Oryctolagus cuniculus: one gene and its partners. The protein of the gene in region 1 purifies or fractionates together with the protein of each later gene. This does not show direct contact. Links are inferred from orthologs where the notes say so. Each region holds a gene or a part of one and is shown in the gene's direction. Other genes may lie near its edges. The genes, in order: ARID1B, SMARCD2 and BCL7C.

The links.
Region 2: the proteins of ARID1B (region 1) and SMARCD2 purify together in Homo sapiens (affinity purification with mass spectrometry; 5 studies listed by BioGRID and IntAct, with this or other methods). This does not show direct contact. The link is inferred for Oryctolagus cuniculus from reciprocal best matches to the Homo sapiens genes ARID1B and SMARCD2.
Region 3: the proteins of ARID1B (region 1) and BCL7C purify together in Homo sapiens (affinity purification with mass spectrometry; 4 studies listed by BioGRID and IntAct, counting the BioPlex papers as one, with this or other methods). This does not show direct contact. The link is inferred for Oryctolagus cuniculus from reciprocal best matches to the Homo sapiens genes ARID1B and BCL7C.

What each region holds. Positions count from the first base shown.
Region 1 is NC_091436.1:10,836,888-10,844,601, reverse strand, and holds the start of ARID1B (AT-rich interactive domain-containing protein 1B), read left to right. Parts: upstream 1-2,229; 5' UTR 2,230-2,890; coding exon 2,891-4,693; intron 4,694-5,158; exon of another isoform or gene 5,159-5,243; intron 5,244-7,714. UniProt on the Homo sapiens protein: Involved in transcriptional activation and repression of select genes by chromatin remodeling (alteration of DNA-nucleosome topology).
Region 2 is NC_091448.1:14,873,590-14,881,361, forward strand, and holds the start of SMARCD2 (SWI/SNF-related matrix-associated actin-dependent regulator of chromatin subfamily D member 2), read left to right. Parts: upstream 1-3,936; 5' UTR 3,937-4,161; coding exon 4,162-4,380; intron 4,381-4,768; exon of another isoform or gene 4,769-5,194; intron 5,195-7,772. UniProt on the Homo sapiens protein: Involved in transcriptional activation and repression of select genes by chromatin remodeling (alteration of DNA-nucleosome topology).
Region 3 is NC_091450.1:6,248,096-6,255,867, forward strand, and holds the start of BCL7C (B-cell CLL/lymphoma 7 protein family member C), read left to right. Parts: upstream 1-3,738; 5' UTR 3,739-3,950; coding exon 3,951-4,042; intron 4,043-4,598; coding exon 4,599-4,677; intron 4,678-4,988; coding exon 4,989-5,097; intron 5,098-5,205; coding exon 5,206-5,367; exon of another isoform or gene 5,368-5,593; intron 5,594-5,683; exon of another isoform or gene 5,684-6,545; coding exon 6,546-6,631; exon of another isoform or gene 6,632-7,124; coding exon of another isoform or gene 7,125-7,250; exon of another isoform or gene 7,251-7,772. Other genes in the region: CTF1 (cardiotrophin-1), read right to left, coding at 791-815. UniProt on the Homo sapiens protein: May play an anti-apoptotic role.

The sequences.
Region 1 (7,714 bases):
TATAGTTAAAAAAAAGCCCCGACGCTTTTGTAACCAAAAAGGAATGTTTAACAAAATAATGGGTAATCCTCTGGCTAAACATGGCCTAGGAGCACCCTGTGGGTGGGAGGTGGCTTCAGGCCACGGGCAGGGGCTGAGGCTCCCCCTCCTCCTGGTGCTTAGGGAAACTTACTAAAGTTGTCACTGTGGTTGGAAATTCAGACAAGGGGTGTAAAAGTAAGGAACTCATCAGGAAAAAGGCACACGGTGATGTCCGGGATCTTATTTCATCCAAAAGGAAGAAAAAAGTAGAATTGCCATCCAGGGTAACTGAGGCAAGCGACACAGCAGAAATGCTAATCGGTGGGTGAATTCTTGCTTTTGTGAAATGGGAACCTATTTCCTCTCTTTATAACCAACCCCTGACAATTTCCACTTTGTGTAGTAAGTCTTGGGTGCTTAAGTGAAACTATGGTTGGAGAAATAGGATTCCAATGAAGGTGTTTCAGAAAGAGGTCTCAGCCTTCTCCGTGGTAGAAAACACAAAACCAAGTCCTGCGGGCTTTGTGCTGTGTTTCTCTTGCAGGCTGCACTGCCTTCTGTCTGCGTCAGGGTGTGGCATCTGCTGCTGGAGAGGAAGAACTGGCATGTGTCGCCTTTTAGAGCAGGCCCCTGTCATTGTGCTGGGGCCTGGGTTTTACAGGCTCTTGGTCCCAGTCTTCCAGCTGAAGCCTTGCTGAAGCAAACGGAATATACAGAGATTGTGGATTATATGTCGAATTCTCTTTTTAGTTTTGTGATTTTTTTTCTGATATGAAAAAATATTTCTAAGGCCCAGAAGTGAACTTGGCGATTCCCTTTTAGGACTAGTTGTGAAAAGCAGCCAGGACGTACGGCTGAACTTGTAGGAACTGACTTTGATCTAGCTTATCAATCTGAATAAAAGCACTGTATGATTATTTGCATATAGTTTGATTATCAATGTCTGAAGCATAAACAAGATTGATTTTAGAATACATGTATATAGATACATAAAACATTTATATTTGCATATGAAAACTTTAAAATGCAACATATGTGGTTAATACGTATAATTAGTATGTATTTGAATATATAGAGAAAAGCCAGGGAAAAAAATGTCAAAAGGCCCACTAAAAGAGATGTAGTGTTCTCTTGGCACAAACTGATGATTTGGCATGACTTCCTCTTACAGTTCTGTTATTGTCTCTTACCCGTTTTCCAGTTGTTTGGACAGAATGGCAATTTGTTGTTTCTTCTCCAAATAACGACCCTTGGGTGTGCGCCTGGCTCCCCGCCCCCACCAGTCACCAGTAGCTCCGTCTGGCTATCTGTCTCTAGTCAGGTAACATGCTTACACTTGGTCAAGCATACATAACTAGTGCATCCGAAACAAGCCGAAATGCTTGCTATGGAAAGCTGAGGAATGAAATGATTTTGGAAAACTATACTCTACCAAAATCGTGTATCTCATTTCTGGGAGTGTGACCCCTGGAGAGCTGGAGAGTACTTCTTAAGAAGTACTGTTACTAAAGATACTCATAATGATACTAGGTGGTAAACTCATAATAAAAACTGTTGCAATACACAACTGTGTACTATTTCTGCTTTTACATTAGATTGGACTGTTTTATAGTTATTGATCTTGTATTTATATTACATTTAACATCTATTGAGTTTTGTTTCATGTTACTTGGAAAGAAACTTTCTCAAGAGGGTTCTCTGTGCCCGTTACCCTCTGAAATAACGCTGGAAGGTGCTACTACATCACCGGAGGGGGGGGGATTCGACTTTGGACAAATAGTGGCATCTGCGTGGGAAAGCTGTGTGCCGCGTGACCCTCGGCTGCGTGTGCCCGAGACAGAGAGGACACAGGGGTGCGAGCTCTCCCCACAGACTCCTTGCACAGGAATCTAGGGTGCCTTAAAAACAGCCACGTAGCCATTATCTCTGGGGCAGGTGCCGGCATCGGTGAGCATCCATTGAGTACCTGCTGTGTACAGGGCTCTGTGCTCTTCGAACGCGGCTAACCCTCCCCGAAAGCCCTTCCTGAATTCTGCAGTTGGAAGAAGTTGTGGGAATCACGCCGATGGCCAGGAATCAAGGCAGGGAGGCCAACGTTCTGGAAAATTACATAACTCCTGTGAGAGCCAGCGCTTTTGCAGATCGCCCAAATATTTTCTTTCCTCCGTGGGCTCCTCGTCACCTCGGAGGCCCACGGACAACTTCGTGCCCCAGCCCTTCTTCCCTCTTTTGTCTGCTCGCCACAGACTCGTTTTTCCACCTTTGGAGCGTTCCTTTTAGACGCGAAAACAAACACGCGAACGCCCGGTTGGCAAGGAGACGGAGGCACGAGGGGAAAGTGCAGCTCCGGCCGCCTCTCGCCGCCGCGCTCCGAGCGGCTGCCCAGCCGGCCTTGGCCCGGGCCTGCGCGCGGCCCCCGGCCCCCGGCCCCCGGCCCCCGAGGCTGCGCCGGCACGGGCGGGCGGCTGCGGCCCGCGCCGAGTCCAGTCCGCGTTTTGCGAGTGCACAGGAGCAATCAGAGAGAAGTGGGATAATAGTTGCTCCAGCTCGCTCGGCTCCTTCTCGTGCCATGCTGGGCCCGATAGGCTCAGCCGGTCGTGTATTTACCCATATCCGGGTTAGAGAGGAAAAGAGAAAAGTTTCGTTTAAACCTGAACTAAAAACTTTCACCGTGAAAGCACACAGCGGGAGCAGGCCCAGACCGTAAGGCGTGCCCCGGGCCCGGCGCTCCGGCGGGGCCTGCGGAGGGGGAGGGGGCCGGCGGCTTCCCGGCGGGCCGCGTGGATGCGCGCAGGAGGGGCCGCGGCCTGAAAAGTGGGGGTATTGTCTCCCCCCGCCGCCCGCCCGGCCTCGCCACGCCGCGGCGATCATGGCCGCGCGGGCAGCAGCGGCGGCGGCGGCGCGGGCGCGGGCGGGCAGCGGCGAGCGGCGGGCGCCCCCCGGGCCGCGGCCGGCGCCCGGGGCCCGGGACCTGGAGGCGGGGGCGCGCGGCGCGGCGGCGGCACCGGCGGCACCGGGACCCATGCTGGGGGGCGGCGGCGGCGGCGGCCTGAATAATGTGCACCACCACCCCCTGCACCCCCGTCACGAGCTGAACATGGCCCATAACGCGAGCGCCGCGGCCCCGGCCGCCGCCGCCAGCACTAGCAGCGCCAAGAGCGGCGGCTCGGAGGCGGCTCTCAAGGAGGCTGGAAGCGCCGCCGCGCTGTCCTCCTCCTCCTCCTCCTCCGCGGCGGCGGCGGCGGCGGCGTCCTCCTCTTCCTCCTCGTCGGGCCCGGGCTCGGCCATGGAGACGGGGCTGCTCCCCAACCACAAACTGAAAGCCGTTGGCGAGGCCCCCGCCGCACCGCCCCACCACCACCACCACCACCATGCCCACCACCACGACCACCATGCCCACCTCCACCACCACCACCACCATCACCACCACCACCACGCACTACAGCAGCAGCTAAACCAGTTCCAGCAGCAGCAGCAACAGCAGCAGCAGCAGCAGCAGCAACAACATCCCATTTCCAACAACAGCCTGGGCGGCGCGGGCGGCGGCGGCGGCGCGCCTCAGCCGGGCCCCGACATGGAGCAGCCGCAACATGGAGGCGCCAAGGACAGTGCCGCGGGCAGCCAGGCCGACCCCCCGGGCCAGCCGCTGCTGAGCAAGCCGGGCGACGAGGACGACGCGCCGCCCAAGATGGGGGAGCCGGCGGGCGGCCGCTACGAGCACCCGGGCCTGGGCGCCCTGGGCGCGCAGCAGTCGCCGGCCGCCGTGCCCGGGGGCGGCGGCCAGGCGGCCGTCTCGGAGTTTAATAATTACTATGGCAGCGCTGCCCCTGCTAGCGGCGGCCCCGGCGGCCGCGCTGGGCCTTGCTTTGATCAACATGGCGGACAACAAAGCCCCGGGATGGGGATGATGCATTCCGCCTCAGCCGCCGCCGGGGCCCCCAGCAGCATGGACCCCCTGCAGAACTCCCACGAAGGGTACCCCAACAGCCAGTACAACCATTATCCGGGCTACAGCCGGCCCGGCGCGGGCGGCGGCGGCGGCGGCGGCGGAGGCGGAGGAGGAGGAGGAGGCAGCGGAGGAGGAGGAGGAGGAGGAGGAGCAGGAGCAGGAGCAGGAGCAGGAGCGGGAGCTGTGGCGGCGGCGGCCGCGGCGGCGGCAGCAGCAGCAGCAGGAGGCGGCGGCGGCGGCGGCGGCAGCTATGGGGGCTCGTCCTCGGGGTACGGGGTGCTGAGCTCCCCCCGGCAGCAGGGCGGCGGCATGATGATGGGCCCCGGGGGCGGCGGGGCCGCGAGCCTCAGCAAGGCGGCCGCCGGCGCGGCGGCGGGGGGCTTCCAGCGCTTCGCCGGGCAGAACCAGCACCCGTCGGGGGCCACCCCGACCCTCAACCAGCTGCTCACCTCGCCCAGCCCCATGATGCGGAGCTACGGCGGCAGCTACCCCGACTACAGCAGCCCCAGCGCGCCGCCGCCGCCGCCGTCGCAGCCCCAGTCCCAGGCGGCGGCGGCGGCGGGGGCGGCGGCGGGCGGCCAGCAGGCGGCCGCGGGCATGGGCTTGGGCAAGGACATGGGCGCCCAGTATGCCGCTGCCAGCCCGGCCTGGGCGGCCGCGCAACAAAGGAGTCACCCGGCGATGAGTCCCGGCACCCCCGGACCGACCATGGGCAGATCCCAGGTAACCCCCGCGCCGGCCGGGCCTGCTTCCGCCCGGCGGCCTCGCCGCGCCGCGAGCCCGAGTTTCTTTCTTTGCCGCGTACTTTTCCCCAGTTTTCTGGTTGGGGGGCGGCGGGGGCGCGGCGCCCAGGGCCATCTTCGCGGGCGGCCGCCTCCCGCCGAGGTCGGGCGCGCGAGCGTCCGCCCGCCGAGTCCGGGCCGCGCCGTGCGGGCCGCGCAGGGCTTCGCCCGCGGCCGCGGGCCGGGCCGGGCGCTCCGGTGCCCGGTGGACCCGCAGCCTCGCCCCGCCGGCTCTCCCGAGGCGCTGGGGTGGTGACGGGATTCCGAGACAGCGCCCGCGGTCGCGGGAGGCTGTGGGGGCCCGGGGCTGGGTGCGGGGGGCTTTTGTGACGGAATCGGCTCTCCGGGCCGCTGAGGTCTGGGGATGGGGGGGGGGTGTTGACCAGATCTGCCCGGGGAGCGCCCACAGTGTGCCCTCGCTGGGAGAAGAATGAGGAACTTTCTCCCACCTTCAGCCTCGTCCTTCCAGGGCGGCAAGGCGGGGAACACGGGTTAGCCTGGTGACAGCCGAGGGGGTTTTTCCTAGTTGGATAGAGCCCCCCGGAGATCTTCGATGCGGGGATCGAGTTTGAGTGTTTACTAGCAGGGGCGGGGAGAGGGGGGAGAAAAAAATAGAAAGGCGCGATTTACAACGACGTGGAGGCAAAATATCTGAAATCTATCGATTCATTCCCGAGAATAGCCGGGGAAATCCATTATGGGGCTTCGGGCCGGCTGCAAGGAGTCACCTTCAGCGCCGAGGCTGTGTGCAAGGAACACGTTTCCCGACCCATTGAACTTCTCTTGCTCGCGGGCTAGGCATACACGCTGCTCAGCAAATCCAGCAGGAGAGCAGGCCTGTGCAAATGGGGCATTTCGGATCGTGTTTATTGGGGTTTTCTTTCTCCTGCCGTCACCGAAGTCCTCCGGCGCTGTTCCGGAGTGTCCGGCGCGCTGGCTGTTTCTTGCTGGTAGGCTGAGCCTAAAGACTGACTTGATCTCCTTTGCAAGGTTTGGAATTTGAATTGTGGAGGTAAACTGGCTGTAATAGTCTCCAGACAGCTGCCTCTGAGTTGACATCTAATCTGCCATCTGATTGGCTCCCCTCTCACCATTGGGCATTTAGCACTGCTGATGTAAATAGAAGTGCTGAGCAGTACAGTCACAAAAATTCTTGCCACAAATAATAACTGCACTCTATTACAAGCAGATGTAAGCCTGCGTATTATTTAAAGCTTAAACTTGTCGCGCATCACGGTTATTAGTAAGAGGATTCGGCACAGAAAAACATCACACCGTGGTCCAGTCTTGGGCATTCACAAAACTGAGCTCTTTGATGACAATCTTGCAATATGGACACGACATATATCATGGACTACAATTGTAGGTGGACGATAGGGCCAGTGAAAAATAATTCAGCCACAAATTTTACCAATTACAGGGTTTGCTAAGGATATGTATATATATATATATATGCCCTTTATTAATTCAGTTATAAAACATTTGATTTGTGGTAGCACATGTTTAATATAACATTAAAAATTTCAAGATTCTGATGTCCAGCAAATCTTATGGTGACAGGCTTTCAGTGGGATTAAGGCTATGTATTTCTAGTGTTTTGCGTTCTGGCTGTTTTAAAATGTTTGTGAGTGAAGAATTTTAGTTAAAACTGGCATATTTAAAAAGATGAAACGATATCATAATTTTTGCAGAGAACGGTTAATTAAACGGGAAACAATGGGTGTTTCTTTGAAGTACTAAAATCATTTTATATTTTCTTCTTCCTTGGAGGATACAGAAATGCCACAGAATCTTTTTTTCCTCTTGATTGTTTTGTTAGAGCAGGTAACGTAAGGTTTATCTGAACTGCTTACACAATGAGTTAGGAACACTGGATTACAAACGAGTTGTGCTGAGTGTGTTTGTTGCAAATAATTTTTCTTTCATAGACATCTTCATGCTATGCAAGTTTTAAAAATTTTAACCTGTTAGAAGGGAGTAACAGTGGCTGTTATGTATGTTTTTATTTAGTTCATTTAATTTTTTGGAAGGTGTATTTTAGTATTATCTGTTAGAGGAGAGACTTGTCAGAGTGAATGAAGGTCTGGATTTAACAGTCATGCAAATATTAACCTAAACATTGGTGTTCTCTGCCGTCAGATCCTTAGTTAATGGAGTTTTACTTTTAATGAGAATGTTTTCCTGTTCTTGATAGGAAACTTGTGATTTCAGTTTTTGTTTCTTGTTCACATAAAGTACAAACGTTATAAAGAAGACTCCTGTAAACCCTTGTAGTCCATTTTAAAGAGATTTGTGTTGTCAGCCTGCTTTTAAAGGGGCAGTTTAAAATTCACATTTTGCAAACTAGAAACAAATGAAATGAGAGGCAGAGGTAGGTTCATATTATTTCACAGTATCACTTCTTGATGGTGCCAGTCATTTTAAGTATTTTGTTTTCTTGGAATGAGAGTGAATCCATTATGTCCTCAGTGTGACCCTGGAGAATAGCTTTTTTTATTTTGAGGGGGAAAAATGACTGACATATGACCTAGATTCACAGATTGCTTGTAGGTATCTTTCTCTGTAACATGTGGAATATGTTGTGTTCATACTTTCTTTTTTCCCCTCTTCATTTTTGAAGGCTAGTAGTATTTAGTGTTTGTTATGGTAATTAAACTAAGAAACAGTCATTTGTCTGAAATATTAAATTACTGCTTGACTATAGGTCATAAAATACTATTAAATCACATTAAATTATGACTTTTTTGGCTTTTAATAGATTTAGTTTCATTTTTGATTTTAGGAAATGGTTTATATTGGGCAGCAAATGTTTTTGTAATTGGGAACAAAACATAGACATATATTGTAGGGGGAAGGCCTTTTAAAAAAGTGAAATAAGCCATTTTAGGGTTCTGATGGTTACTGGATTTTTTTAAGTATTCAGATAGAGCAGGCTCGAAAGGCGTACTGAGGTCTGCTCACA
Region 2 (7,772 bases), on another chromosome or scaffold:
AACTGCAGCTTACTGCTAACATACAGGCAGCACTGATGGCTCAAATGATTGAGTTCCTGCCCACCCCCCACCCCCATGTGGGAGAACTGGATTGAGTTCCCATCTCCTGGCTTCAGACTGGCTCAGCCCCAGCTGTTGCAGACATTTAGGGAGTGAACTAGTACATAAGAGCTCCCGCCCCCAATCTCTCTGCCTCTCAAATAAATATACACATATTATATATCAATTGTGTTGTATTCATATATAATGCTGAGAATAGTGTCTACAGGTTTGCCCAGCGCTTCTGCTACTGTGACTAGGCAATGCCTGGGCCTATGGCCTCCCACTACGTCCACATGGGAGTCGGATGCTTGAACTGCCTGGATGCTCCGGCTGGCACAAGCTCCTGGTCCAGTCGCAGAGAGCCGCAACTTGGTAAAGCGTTCGCACCATAATCTGGCTACCCACATTGCTTCTCCTGAAATTACAACCTCCTAAGGGACACCCACAGCGAGATGAGCCTTTGCTGGCCTACCTGAGGGTGAGCACTGAGCTGTTTTCCTCCCACGACCTTGCTCTTGTGGACTCTTTGAGCACTGTTTTCCCACTGAGCAGCCGGATGGGGAACCACAGAGCAGTGCTTGGAATTGGCCCTTTGACTCTGGTTGTATTAAATACTTTATTATTAATAGTTTGTTAAATTAAAAAATTTAGTTCCATCCTGTTTCTCTGAGCATCTCTAGAGGTAGCCGTGTCCAGAGGTTGCAGGAAGTCCCTCTCTGGACTGTCAGGGTGGCACCATGGAAGGTCTCAGTAAAAGTTGCTGAATGAAATCCCTGAAAAGTGGGCACTGAGTATCAAAGAGGAAGGGAGGAGAAAAAAAGGCATTCCAGGCTGAGGGAGCAAGGGCGTGGGAATGCTGCCTCCATGACACTGGGTCCTGTAGTTGGCCACACCGTTAAGTCCCAAGAGGACTGCAGTAGGAGTGCCGTCTCCTCCCCTTGTTCCCACATCTATTTTCTATGGCCAGCTCATTTCACAAGGTCCCGGATTGTTCTGAAGTGAAACATCAGGTCCCATTTGCCTACTGCGTGACTACCAATAGCATCTCGCTGATTAGTCAGGACCTGCCTACCAACCTCTTTTTCTCTGAGTCTCCATGAAACTTGCTTTTTCAGTTTGAACATTATTTCTTTGCAAGTAATAACAGACCAGACACACAACTACCAACAAACTGATAAAGAATGGTTAAATTCCTGAATCGTAGATTCTAGAGCCGGACTGGAACCAGACTAGAATCCTAGTGCCATCATAGTGAGAGTGATCAAGTGGCTGAATCTCTCTGCCTTGATTTCTAAAATATAAGTAAATATAGTGTCTGCCTCATATGTGTTATGACAATTAAATGAGCTAACATGCTCAATAAATGTTAGCTATTAAATTTCTTTTTTCAGGGCTGACGCCATGGCTCACTTGGTTAATCCTCCACCTGCGGCACCAGCATCCCATATGGACACCGGGTTCTAGTCCCGGTTGCTCCTCTTCCAGTCCAGCTCTCTGCTGTGGCCCGGGGAGCCAGTGGAGGATGACCCAAGTCCTTGGGCCCTGCACCCACATGAGAGACCAGGAGGAAGCATCTGGCTCCTGGCTTTGGATCAGCGCAGCACCAGCCATAGCAGCCATTTGGGGGGTATTTTACCATATCAACTCACTATTGACATTATCTGTCACTCTCCCACTACACTCAAGCATCATTTGTCCACACACATCTGTTGAGTAGATTATAACAATTATCAATAGAGACACAGTATATGTCCAAAATAATTGAAAACAGATACTCAAAGAAACACAGGTACACACATGTGCATAATAGCATTAGTCACAATAGCCAGGAAACAGATACAACTCTGATGTCTATCAATGGATAAACTAATTGTGGTATATACATAAAATGGGCTATTACTCAGCCATAAAAAGAAATGAAGCATTGCTACATGCTACAACATGGATGAACCTCAAAAACATAATGCTAAAGGAAGAAAGCCACAAGTTATGATTCCGTTTATATGAAATAGCCACAATAGATAACGCTATAGAGTCAGAATGAAGATTGGTGGATGCCAGGGATTGGGAGGAAGGAGCGAATAGGGAGCAGCTATTTAAATGGTATTCTTCTGGGGAAATAAAAATGTTTTAGAAGTAGACAGAGATGCTGGTTACACAACATTGTGAATGTAATGCCACTGAACTGTTCACTTTCAAATAGATAATTTTTACATGAATCTCACCTCAATAGAGAAAGTTTGTTCCTGCCTTCATAAAGTTTATATTTTTAGTGGGTGCACCAGATCAGACAATACGTCAGTACACACATAAAAAAGTAATTACATAGCTGGTGGGAAGTAAAGTAAGGGGAGAGAGAAGAAAAGTTAAGGAAGAGCTGGGAGCATAGAGCATCTGAGAAGGGAAGGGGCCTGGCGGTTTGAGAAACTGCAGGGCTACCAGCTGGCTGGCACTTAACCAATGGCAGTGATTTAAAATGAGCCGCCCAAGGAGGAAGCTGTAAGCCGGTTCTTCGGAGCCTTACGTATCCTGGGAGGGAGTACGGCATTCAATTTAAGGGCACTGGGGACCTGGGGAGTTTTAAGTAACAGATTAATGCGACCTGATTATATTTAACAATGTTTTTAAATGCACTTAATAGTTATTTCTTTTCTACAGTAGTTCTCATCAAGGGGTATTAGAATTACCTAACTTATTTTTAAAATGCAACGCTGGAGGTCATTGGTTTGGAGGTATGGCTGGCAGGGATATTTTGGAATGGCCACCACTTCCTCAAGAACTACCGCTGGTCTGGAAGCTTCAGAGTTGGAGGGGACATTCGCTGCCTTATCACGAAGCCTTGCTGGGGTAGAAAGGGGCATGGTTTGATGGCTGTAACTGTCACAGTTGCAGGGGTCTGTCCCCATACTGACAGGTGGCCAACTTTTAGGGAGGAAGAGGAGAGGGATCTTAGATGCAGGAAAGCAGAGCAGCAGGGCTTGTCACCTAAGGAATGCTACAGAGGTACGAGTGGGAACTAATTTCTAACAGAGGGTTGGAGGACTGCCGCGGCCCCAGTGAGCCATAATCTGCATTTATAATGAGAGCCCGGGTGTGCTGTATGCTCATTAAAGTCTAAGCACTGGTCTATGTCCTGGGGAGACCCCACATGAGGGTGGGGGGCGGGTTAGGAACCTGGCACAGCTGAAGCGTTTATTTGGAATACCTTCTGATACAGGTCAGTAGTACCGAACGTTTGAAGATAAAGTGCTATAAATACTGGAGACAGAACTTGTTTAACTGGGGGGTGGGGGGGCGCTTCTCAGGGCAAATTTCCTTCGCCGAGAACCATTTCCTGTGGAGTCAAGTACCAGGCTTCTTTAAAATGAGACAGAGCCATGTTAAAAATGTGCGATAAGAACCGGGCGCTAGGCCAAGTCAACGGTTCACACAGCTGGCCTGGGCCTGGCGCCGTCCAGGTCAGAGGGCGGCCCCAGGCCGAGTCTTCAACGCTGAACTGTATAAAGACTCAACAGAAGTAGTTTGAGGGGGAGTAGCGGACTAATCCGCTTTAGTGGCTACACCCGAGCTAGCAGAGCCCAGGACCTCGCTGACCTTCGACTTCTGACCCCCCGCCTCACTCGGCACTTCCGTTCGCACTTCCGCTCCCGCCTCTCCGCGAAGGGCGGGCCCACGGGTTGTGGGCGGTACCCTAGGCCGGCGGTTAGGGGCGGTGCCTGCTAGGGGTGCGTCTCGCGAGGGCGGGATTTGAGGAGGCAGTCTCGCATTGGACTGCGAGGGAGGGGCGGGGCCGAGTGCTGCCTGGGTGGGGCGGGGCCGGGAGTTAGTCGCCGCCTTTGGGTAACCGGACTCTGGTGGCCAAACCTCCCGAGGCCGGGGGCGGCAGGCGGGCCCGCAGCCTATCCCGGATCCGGAATCTCCCGGGCCAGGAGCGGAATCGGGGTCGGCCCTGGCCCAGACCAGGCCAGAAAGGAACTCGCGAACTTGGATTAGGAAATCCCGGATCCCGGATCCACAAAGCCCGGAACCCGGAATTAGGATCGGAAAGTCCCGGATCGCGGAGCGCAGCGCGCGGAGCGGACTCGACGCGGAGCCCGGAGGCCGGGACGGGACGGAGCGATGTCGGGCCGTGGCGCGGGCGGGTTCCCGCTGCCCCCGCTGAGCCCTGGCGGCGGCGGCGCCGTGGCAGCCGCCCTGGGAGCGCCGCCTCCCCCGGCGGGACCCGGCATGCTGCCGGGCCCGGCGCTCCGGGGCCCGGGGCCGGCTGGCGGCGTGGGGGGCCCTGGGGCCGCCGCCTTCCGCCCCATGGGCCCCGCGGGCCCCGCGGCGCAGTACCAGGTGAGGAGAGAGGAGCGAGGGCGCCTCGAGTGGGGCCCCTGGGGGAGCCCCCTGGACCGGGGGCGCAGGACTCTGCGGCAGGAGCTCGCTGGGGCCGGGGAGGGCCCGGCGGGGGCCCTCTGGCCGCGGCTCGGTTATGGCGGTGGCGGAGTGCGAGGGGGCTCCGAGGGCTTCCTTGGCGCGGGCGCTGCGAGTAACTGAGCGATGGAGTTGTGGGAGGCGGCGAACCGTGGCCGAGCAGCCCGTGTCCGGGGTTCCCGGGATGTGATGGGAAAGTTTCGGACAAGGCTCCCACCGCGCGACCGGGGTTACCCTGCGTTGGCCTTGGTCCTGTTCCAAGTCTGCCCTGTTTTTTCTCGTTGGGAACTGGCAGGGCTGGAGCATGTCTGAGATGGCTCCCAGCTGCTAAGGAGGCGGCAGGAGGCCTGGCTTCCCACCGCCAGGGAGGCTGAGGTTGGGGCCGGGGGAGTCCAGCCTGTGTGTGCAGGGGCAGACCCAGGAGCTTTTCACTGGATTTGACTCCGGGTTAGACCAGAGGCGGTGGCGAGCCGGCTGGAGGGAGGACCCAGCCCAGTGAGAGACCATCGCGCGCAGACCGTGTCCTGGGCTCTCTGCTTGGCGGCGTCCTGGTGGCGGGAGGTTGAGTGGAGGAGCCGGGCTGGGGCTGCAGGAGTTTGCTTCCCAGCGCTGTCCCGACGCCTGCGGGTTGACGTCCGAGAGAGGCTCACGTTGCAGCGCGAAAGGCCACCGAGAGGCAGAGCCGCGACGGTCCTTACGGCGGGCGTGTGAGCACTCGGTCTGGCCCTGCTGCGGGGTTGGTCTCCCGGTCCGTTATTTTAGGTTGCCCCAAATGCTTAGGAATTATACCTGTCTTTTTTTTTCCCCCTGCCCTCTCCGATTTACTTGGCCTCCGGGTTCTGACAACCCCGCATCCTAACCCATGCACCCTGCGTTTGCCGCTTGCTGGTCTCCCAAGGTCTCTTCCCTCATTGTGTCTCCCAGCCAGGGGTCCCAGAGGGTCCTCAGGGAGTGTCCTCCAGGACCCCCGAGCTCTCACATCCCCGGGCGATGCCTACTGGGGACAGTGAATTTTGTATTCCCTTATTCCCTCTCCTTCGTAAAAGAAAACAGGGTGAGGGTGTGTGCAGAGGGAGACCTGGTCCCAGGGGCCCCGCTGGGGCTCCTCCTCTCCTATCTTGCTCTACTCCCTAGGGGACTCCTGGACTCAGGGTGTGGCTGAGGGGTCCCTGCATCAGTTACTCCAGCCCTCGGGCCTGTTTGCTGAGACCTGGCCCGGGAACCTCTGGGCCTTTGGCCTTGGAGGGACCTGGAACAGACAATGCGGCCCTTGGGAAGAGTGCCCATGCCCCTGAGAGGATGGCAGTGGCCAGGCCTAGCTGCGTGGCTGTGGGCCACTAGGAGTGGCACTGAGGCTGGCTTTCCTGGCCACCACTTTGTCCTCCTCCCCTCCGGAGAGATGGGAAGGGGAACCTGGCCCCCCGGGCTGAGTCAGGTCCCGTTGTGTGACTTCAGGAGAAGGGACTTGAGGGTTCCTGTCTGTCAGCACTCGCAGAGGGAGCTAAGAGCAAGGAGTCGAGGCCCACGCCGGGCAGGTAGGGAGCCTGTGGAAGGAAGGGCTGTGATGCCCCCTCCCTCCAGAGGGGGCCTGGTGGTCACCGCCAGCAGAGAAGCTCAAGGCCAAACCTCGGGTGCTGGCTTTGCTCTAGAGAACTCAGGATGCCCCGCTGACACCCTGAGCAGCAGGGCCACAGCTCAGGGGCGGGGCACCGCGTGCTCACCTGGCGGCTCAGCAGAGGGGCCGGCCTTGGAACAGCTGGTGTGGGGGACGGGTGATGCGGTCACTGCACACTTTCGGGGTTCAGGGGGCCCCACCAGGCCTGCCTCACCCTGTTTCATGTCAGGAGTCAGGGAGGGTGAGAGTTTTGGGCTGTAGGTTGTAGGTCTTTTTTTAGAATTCCTGAGTTGTTTTTTGAAGGGGTTGGAATTACTGGTGCTTCAAAGCCCAGGTGTGGAGCTTGGCAAGGCTGAACTGGGACTCCAGCTGCGAAGCAGCCTTTCCCTGGGGCCCAGGGTGAGCCGGGGGCCCTGAGCCCGGCACGGGACCTGCTCCAGGTCCTGCCTGTGCGCCTTGTCCTTGTCCTGGGACTTCCTGTCTCCGGAGCACCTGCTCAGGAGGGCTAGGTGGTGGTGCAGGCTTGGTGAGCGCCCTAGTGAGTGGCTTTGTGGGGACCGCAGGGCCCTAGCTCGCCCCTGCAATTGCTGCTTGCTCCCTTGTCTCAGGCACTGGAAAAAAAAAAGTTGCAGTCTGGGACATGTGTGGGGCCTGGGCTTACAGCTGCGGCCACATTGAGTGCTGCCCCCTCCCCCCCCATCTCTGGCTGTGGCTCATTAAAGCGGAGAAGTAGGTTGTCTTGCTTTCAACAGCTCTAATGAATCCCTTCCTGATGGAGCGAGGCTGCGGCAGGACTCCCGATCCCAGAGCCCCCCGCTCTGCTCTCACCTCTTGGTTCTCACTCCGCCCTTCCCCCCACAGCTCTGGGGTGTGTTCCTGTGCGTCTGGTCAAGTATCTGACCCTCTGTGCTGGGAACATGGGTTGCGGGCTGGAAGGAGAGGTTGGGGAGAATCGTCTCCACGATGCTGGCGTGGGGGAGGGTCCTGTGATCTGGGGTGAGTCTCCACCCAGCCCAGCTCGGCTGGCTGGTTGTGCTCGTTGCATAATCTGGGCCCCGGGGCCAGCCCTGTGAAGCTGCCAGGGACAGTGTGTGCAAGGCAGAGCTGCCAAACAGGCCTTGCAGGCAGCAGCCGTGGAGAAGGGGGCTGGGGGCAGAGGTTACTCCCAGATGGGCGCCACAGAAATGTTGGGGAGCTGGGCTTGGGTGGGAAATCCTTCTGCAGACTCTGAAGCGGCTCTCTGCCACCCGGATTCCTGCTGCGGACGCTTTCTTGACTCTGACCCTTGCATCCAGGATAATCTCCCCATCCTCTAGCTTGGGATTGCTAGGGCTCAGATGAACTCGAGCCAGTCCTGGCTGCCAGGTAGTGCCTGGACCACAGATGCCAGCTGCTCTCACTCCCACAGGCGCCGCAGTTCCCCTTTCGGGTCTTCTGGCACCGGGGTGTGGGTGAGACAGTGGGGAGGCAAGAGAAGAGTCCAGTTCCCGGCTGTGGGTAGGGCCATATGGTGACCAGATGGTCTGCACGCTGTGCTGGAGGCCACCCCCACTGGCTGAGCCACGTCCAGTCCATCCTCCTGCAGTTGCTTACCCGGGGTGCTGCTGCCTCCTGGGTTTACCAGGCCCCCGGCTGCCTCTCTCCCTCGGTCACAGCACAGGCATTGGGGCTCTGCCTTGTCAACCTGCTTAGATCCAAG
Region 3 (7,772 bases), on another chromosome or scaffold:
TAGTCTGGGAACCCTTTGAGGATGGAGTGGACATAGCTCTGTAACTCGCTTAGTGGAACTCAGATCGAAATTGCCTTTAAGGCCCACTTGCGGGGAGACTTTAGTCCCGTTTCTTCCCTGATGCCCCTTCTTATGCAAGGCACTGGGGCTGGATATTTTCAATGAATCAGAATCTGGCCTGTCCTAGCGTAAGCTTGCGGGCGAGTGGCGCCCCAGGAGGACTACATTTCCCGATATGCACAGCGCGCGCCCGGTGCATGCTGGGGAGCGTAGTCCCTGAGCGGCCGCCCTCGCCCCGCCCCCGCCCCCGCCCGCCCCCGCCTGAGTTTCCCACCGCCGCTCCGGATCCTCGGGAGCTTCAACTTTTGGGTCCCGCTGTCGCTCACCAGTTCCCGTGGCTCAGAGGCTTTCTTCCCTACCTCTGCCTCTTCTTGCAGCTGCCGCCCCCCGCCCCAACTTTGATTTTTCTCCTGACACTCGGGGAGGACTCAGGTGTTCTGCCCCAGCCCCGCCTCCAGTCCTCCCTCAGGATGTACCTGAACTGGTGATCTAACTCCCGGTGCCCAAGTCCCTAAATCCTCCGCCCCAGGCCTCCTCTAAACTCCTGCGCCTGCCCTTTCTCAAAACTCACCCGCTTGTTACCTGACACCGGAGCCCTGCTCTCCCCCGCCCCAGCCGCCTCCCTCCGGACCCGGATCCTGCGGTGGTGGAGCCCCAGACCCCAACTTCCAACCCTGCTGGCTCCTGCGCCCTTCAGGGACCCAGCGTCAGGTCCCTCACAGCCCCTTACCCAGACTTCCCTCCCTCCGGCTCATGCTGGCCCCTGGTTGATCCCGGTTCCCTCCACGCCCCCCTTCCGAGGGGGGGGGGAAGTGGGGAAAGGGGTAGGGGCGTGGCCCGGGCGCAGCCAATCAGCGCCCAGACCCCAAACATGACCCCCCTCCACTTCCAAGCAAGATTCTTCGGCCCTGAGCTCAGATCCCCCGCCTGCGCAGCCTGGTCGGGTGGAAGGGGCAGGCAGGCGGTCTTCAGGATGGGCTCCGGAGCTCGGGACTGGGGGTTTCGGGGCCTGGGAGGCCACCCTGTGTCCTGCTGCGGGGGGAGGCGGGGAGAGGCGGGGGGAGGCAGGGGGAGGCAGGGCTTGGCGCCCGGGCTGCTTTGGGGCTGGCAGGACAAGAATGCACAGGCCCTCCCTCTGGGCTGGGGGCTGGGTGCCGTGGGGGCCTCTGGCTTGGGGCGCACTTGTCCAGACAGACACCTTTCTGCTCCGCTAAAGATGCCTTCCTGGCTGCCCGGCACACCTCCCAGGAGGGAGGCAGACGTTCCACCTCGCCTTAACCTTGGGGACCCAGGACAGACCCCGCCCCCTCCTACATCTCCTCTCCCTGGAAATCTGGACACACCCGAAAGTCAACCCCATTAACCTGAACCAGGTGCTGCCTCTGTCCGGGTGTGGGACAGACAGGCGCCACACTCACTTTTGGATTCTAGCCTCCTGCGGGGCTCACAGTCTGACTACAGTTGGGAGCAGCCGGACTGAGAAGGAGGTGCGTGTGTCACTGAGGATATTGGCTTGAGCAGAGCTCTCCGGCAGAAAGGAGGAAGAGAAGTAACCAGCAGAGGGCCCAGCAGGTGCAACTGAAACCGGACTGTGACCCGTGTCACAATGACACCCTTAGTAACAGCGATTTTTTTTAAGAGTTATTTATTTATTTGAAAGTCAGAGTTACACACAGAGAGAAGGAGAGGCAGAGACAGAGAGACAGAGACAGAGAGACAGAGAGAGAGGTCTTCTATCCGTTGGTTCACTCCCCAGTTGGCCTCAACAGCCAGAGTTGAAGAAGCCAGGAGCTTCTTCCAGATCTCCCATGTGGGCGCAGGGGCCCAAGCATGTGGGCCATCTTCTACTGCTTTCCCAGGCCACAGCAGAGAGCTGGATCGGAAGTGGAGCAGCCGGGTCTCGAACTGGTGCCCATATGGAATGCTGGCACTGCAGGCAGTGGCTTTACCCACTACACCACAGTGCCAGCTCCAATAACAGCAATTTTTTTAAAAAAATTATTTATTTGAAAGGCAGAGTTACAGAGAGGGAGAGGGAGAAGGAGAGGGAGAGGGAGAGAGAGAGAGAGAGAGAGAGATCTTCCATCTGCTGGTTCACTCCCCGAATGGCTGCAATGGCCAGGGCTGGGACAGGCCAAAGCCAGGAGCTTGGAGCTTCTTCCAGGTCTTCCACATGGATGCAGGGGCCCAAGGACTTGCACCGCCTTCTGTTGCTTCCCCACGTATATCAGCAGGGAGCTGGATCGGGAAGTGGAGGAGCTGGGACTCTGCACAGGCACCCATATGTGATGCCGGCACTGCAGGCGGAGGCTTAACCCCGCTGCACCACAGTGCCGACCCCAACAGTAAATTTTTATTGAGGTCTTTTACTACGTGCTGACCACTGTTCTAAGTGCATATTAAGTTACTGCCAAGTTTTAGTTGAGGAAGTAGATATAAGTGGCTTGTCCGAGTTCACGTAACGGGGTGTGGCTGACCCGGGATGTTTACCATGGCGGGCCAGCTCCTGAAATGCTGTCAAGGCTGTCTTCCCAATCCTGTAACCCCTCTGGACAGGGTCAGAGACAGGACAGCCACACACAGCTGCACCGATTTAGACACGATCAGATCTGCTGATAAAGGAGCCTTCGAATCAACCAATCATTTTCTGCAAGGAAACTTCTGAGTCAACTGCAAAACACAGATGGAGAAACGCACACATCCCCAGCGCCCAGCTTGATGAATTTTCAGAGGAACTTTGCCCAGGGAGCCCGGGCCACATTAGGAAACAGACATGATGGGTTCCCAGAAGCCCCTCTGGGACCCCTCCCAGTCCCGAAAGAGACACCCTCCCGGCTTCCTAATCCTGACATTTTCCTATCTGCTTTCGAACTTCATAGAAATAGAACCAGGTGGTGTATCTGGCTTAAACTCAAGATCTGCTGAGGGAGACTTGTCCCGTCGCTGGGTGTAGTGGGACAGCGGGCATTCTTGCCCGCTGGGTCTCTGTCTTGGGTATCAATAGCTGCAACCCACTTCCCAGTCTCCTCTTGGTAAGCCGTTTACGGTTCGGGGCTGTTAAGAACGCGGCTGTGAACATCCCAGCTCACGGCTCTTGGTGCTCCTGTCTAAGCATTTCTGCTGGGTGCTGACGTGCTGGATTCCTGGGCTGGTCTTTGTTCAGCTTCATGGGAAAGTCTCTACCAATTCCCACTCCCCCAGAAACAGAAGGGAGGCCGCGCGGCTCCGCTGGCCCGCCCACACTCGGTATGGCCTGTCGTTCTCGCTATAGCCATCCTGGGGGGTGGAGACTCACTCATGTGTGCAGCTGTGGCGCGTAATTGGCACTGGGCTGCTAGATCGTTGAATGAATGAATGGGTGAACGAATTAAGTTGGGCAGCGTAGAATCAGCCAGCCCGGCGAGGGAGGAGGGGGTGTCCGGGGACACACACACGGTGTCTCAGGTTCGCACACCTGCACCCAGACCCTCTCGTGCACCCGAGCGCCCACGTGGTCTGGACGCGCCGCCTCGGCGGAGCCGCGCGCGTCCAAGTCGCCGAGCCAGCGGGCCCCCAACTCTCGCTCGCTCTCGGCGGCGGACAGGGGGCGCTGCGCGTCCGGGCGCCCCCGAAGGGGCGGGCCCGGGGCGGGGCGGGGCTGGCCCGGCTTCCAGGCCTGGGCTCCGGCACCCGCGCCGCCCGGCCGCTCCGGGGACGGGCCGGGGCGGGGCGCGGCGGCAGGAAGCGGGGCGGGGACTCGCGGAGGCGTTGGGGAGCGAGGGAGGGCGCGGCCAACTCCCGGAGGGGACGGCGGGCGGCGAGAGCGGCGCCCCGGCCTGGCGCCGAGCCTGAGCCCGCCGGACGGGAGGCAGCCCCGCCGCGGGCTCGGCCCCGGCCCCAGCGCCGCCAGCATGGCCGGCCGGACCGTACGGGCTGAGACCCGGAGCCGGGCCAAGGATGACATCAAGAAGGTGATGGCGACCATCGAGAAAGTCCGGCGATGGTGAGCGCTGCCCCGCGGCCGGGGCCGGGACCCTGGCGGGGACCACCGCCCCCTCGCGCGCCTCCCCTCCCCTCGCCAGCTGCGCCCCCCAGGTGTTAGGTGCGCCCCCGGCCACCAGCTGTGCGCGGGATCCCCAGGGCTCCGTCTCCCTTCCCCGGGCTACCCCCGGAGGTCTACAAAGCGTGGTCCCCAGCCGTGCCTTCGCCGGGCGGGAGCCCTCGTCCGTGCCCCGCCCCCTGAAGCTCTGACACTCCTGCAAGTATGGCCCGGGCTCCGAGCTGCGTCCCCAGGGATGGCCCCCTCCCTCCGGAGGGGTTCTGCCCTAGCCATGGCCCCGAGGCGTGCCCGGGGCGCCCCCTCCCCATCTTTGCCCTGGGCTCGCTCTCTCCAACAGTGCCTCATTCGCAAAACCGCCCCAACCCTCGTGCACCTCCCCCACCTTGCAGATGTGGTACCTGGGGCAGAGGCGGAGGCGGCGGGTCAGGCGGGTGCGCGCGGGGGGGGGGGGCGCCTCTCCCCTCAGGCCTCTCTGACCCAGCACCCCACCCTCCCACAGGGAGAAGCGTTGGGTGACTGTGGGCGACACTTCCCTTCGCATCTTCAAGTGGGTGCCGGTGGTGGACCCCCAGGAGGAGGTGAGCAAGCCCACCCCCCACCCCCCAAGACCCTGCATCTGTGCAGTCTCAGCCCAGCTCCTCCCCACCCTGGCCTCCACCTCCAGTGCCTACCGCAGCCCAGATGTTCAGGATTACTCGGCTGCCCCTCCCCCTCCCCCTTTCCTGCTCCAGACCCCCCCCCTGCAAGGCTAACCCAGCACGCACAGCCTCTGTCACCTCTGGCTGGGCCTTGGGTTTCTCTGTGCCTCAGTTTCCCCGTTTGTCCCCGTGGGGCTCTGCCAGGGCTGCCGGGAAACGCTGGCTCTGATCCTCATCCCTGTCACCCCCAGGAGCGGCGGCGGGCAGGTGGCGGGGCAGAGCGATCCCGTGGCCGAGAGCGGCGAGGCAGGGGTGCCAGTCCCCGAGGGGGCGGCCCGCTCATCCTGCTAGATCTCAATGGTATGTGTGGGGGCCCAGGCATTGCCGGGGGCGGGGAGGGGTGGCTGTGGGACCTGGAGGAGGGGCCTGGGGGCCTCAGGCCGACCCTCTGGGCTCTTGTTTCTGCAGATGAGAACAGCAACCAGAGCTTCCACTCGGAAGGCTCCCTGCACAAGGGTACCGAGCCCAGCCCCGGGGGCACCCCACAGCCCAGCCGCCCTGTGTCACCCGCCGGAGCCCCGGAAGGGGTCCCTGAGGAGGCTCAGCCCCCACGGCTGGGCCAAGAGAGAGGTAGGATCAGGTGCCACCCAGAGCCCCCTTCTCTGCGCCCAGCAGCTCACCCCGCTACCTGCCCCTCTCCCATGAGCCCCGTGGAAACAGTGCCCGCCCCTGCCGTCTCCTCTGGCATTTCCCTATCAATTTCAGTTGCTGCTCACATACTGTCTTCCTGCCCCGTCTCGTGTCGGCTTCCTGGAGGTCGGGCCCTCCCCGATCTTGTTCACGGCATCCTCCAAGTCTAGTGGGACGCATAATAGGTGCTCAATCAATGTTTGTCGAGTGACTAAAAGACGAAGCTACTCACGGGCGCTATTGATTGAGCTCTTACTGCGTGCCAGGTGCCTTCCAAACACTCTGTTCTGTTTTATCTCATTGACTCGCCGCCTCGGAGGGGTTAGCCTGCCCTGCTTCCTGTTTGTAGCTGAGGAGGCAGATCAGCAAGGTTAAGTCGGTCGCCCGAGCTCACACAGCGTCTTCAGGTTGAGGCTCCTCAGCTCCTCTTTCTTCCAGTTCACCCCCGCCCAGCGTGGCCTCCCCAGGCCACAGCCTGGCTCCAGCCGCCCCGCAGCTGTAGCACAGCTCTGCCTGAAGCGGGGGGCCGGGTGGGGCTCATTTTCCTGCTGTGGCTCCTTCTGCCCCCTGAGCTGGACGCTGAGGGCCCCCTGTGCGCCGTGCCCTGCCCGCCACCAAAGCCACGGCTTGGGCCTAGGGGCTGAGCCTGGACACCTGTGCTAATAGAGAAGCAGTAACTGGCATTTCTGGCGCACGTGCTGGGTGCCAAACACTTTGAGCTGTACTACCTCGCCTCCTCCTCCCGAGAGTCATGCACCAACTGCGACCCCTGGCCCCATGTTATGGATGGCTAAGGAGAGGCCCCAAGAGACGGAAGGAGCCGGCCCAAGGCCAGGATCTGAAGGCGGCCGCTGAACTCCAGGACCTGTGCTCACTACCCTGCGTTCCCTTTGTCTGAAGTGTGTTTTTCTTGGTAAAGCTACACCGCTTTGCAGATCCTGCATAAGTGTTCCTGCTTCAGTCTGGGGCTGGGACTTCAGCCAGGTCCTGGGCCCCTTTCTCTCTGTCCAGCTGCCTGTGTGTGTGTGTGCGCGCGCGCACGTGCGTGCATTTCTCCCAGTCTGACCTCTGGGCACAGAGTGGCTGCTCAGGGAATGACTGTTCACTTGACATTCCAGATCCCGGGGGCATAACTGCAGGCAGCACGGACGAACCCCCCATGCTGACCAAGGAGGAGCCGGTTCCAGAGCTGCTGGAGGCTGAGGTGAGAGAGGCCGCAAGGCTGCACTCCCGGGTCTCGAGGGAACGTGGCACCGGCGCGGGTGCGGTCCGGGCGGGAGGTGTGGACCCAGCACCCAGCCAGGGCCTTAGCGGCCGGGTTCTTGGGGACAGAAAAGAAAAGGGTGTTTCAGAGACAGCTTCCTGAGGGCTGGATCAGGGCCGACCTCAGACCATGAAAAGCCTGAACCAAACAAACGAACAAACCAATAAGCAAACCGCGGTGACCCCCAGGCATTAAGGACAGCAAACCCTGACCGGTCGAGTTAGCCTCACATAGTCCCCGGTTCAGTCTTGAGAGCGCAAGAGCCCGATCCTGGCGCAGTCGGTCGCTGCCCTGAGCAGACTTCTAGGTCTGGGGAGGGGCGTGGTGTGGCGTGGTGTGGCGTGGCGAGAGGTGGTTGCAGAGACAGCCCAGGCTCAGAGGCTGGACGCCTGGGTCCGGGTGGGGCTCATGCCTGTCCACCCTTCCTCTCCAGGCCCCCGAAGCTTACCCCGTCTTTGAGCCAGTGCCACCTGTCCCTGAGGCAGCCCAGGGGGACACAGAGGACTCGGAGGGCGCCCCCCCACTCAAGCGCATCTGCCCAAATGCCCCCGACCCCTGAGAAGCCACAGCCAGCCAGCCTGCTTGTCCTGCCTGCCTGCCGCCCCAGGGGCCCCTTCGGCAATTTTTTTTTTTTTTTTTTTTTTTTTTTTTTTTTTACAAATAAAGACCCTTTTGTAATTTTGTGTCCTGTCATTTCCCGCCAGGGCTGGGGAGGGGCTCCGCAGGCACTTTTGTCTCTCGCTCCATTTCTCAGATGGGGTCATCGAGGCTCGAGGCTCCAGAGGGCCTTGCTGTAGTCACACCGGGAGCCAGGCCCCTGCCTCCGCACCACGCCCCCCATCGGCCCCATCCCCCAACTCTGACCTCCCCTCCCCTGGCCTCCCTCTCCGGGGAATCCCAGAACCTCTCTGCTTCCTGCTCAGAGCCCCAGGGCCCAGTAGTTCTCAAAGCTCTGGGCAGCGAGGCCCATGGTTCCATTTCCCATGCAGGAACATAGAGGCCCCAACGTGGTCCAAGGACCCGGCCCATTCCTGCCCCCCCCCCCCGCCCCGGAAGTGGAGCGCAGCGCTCCCTGCCTTGG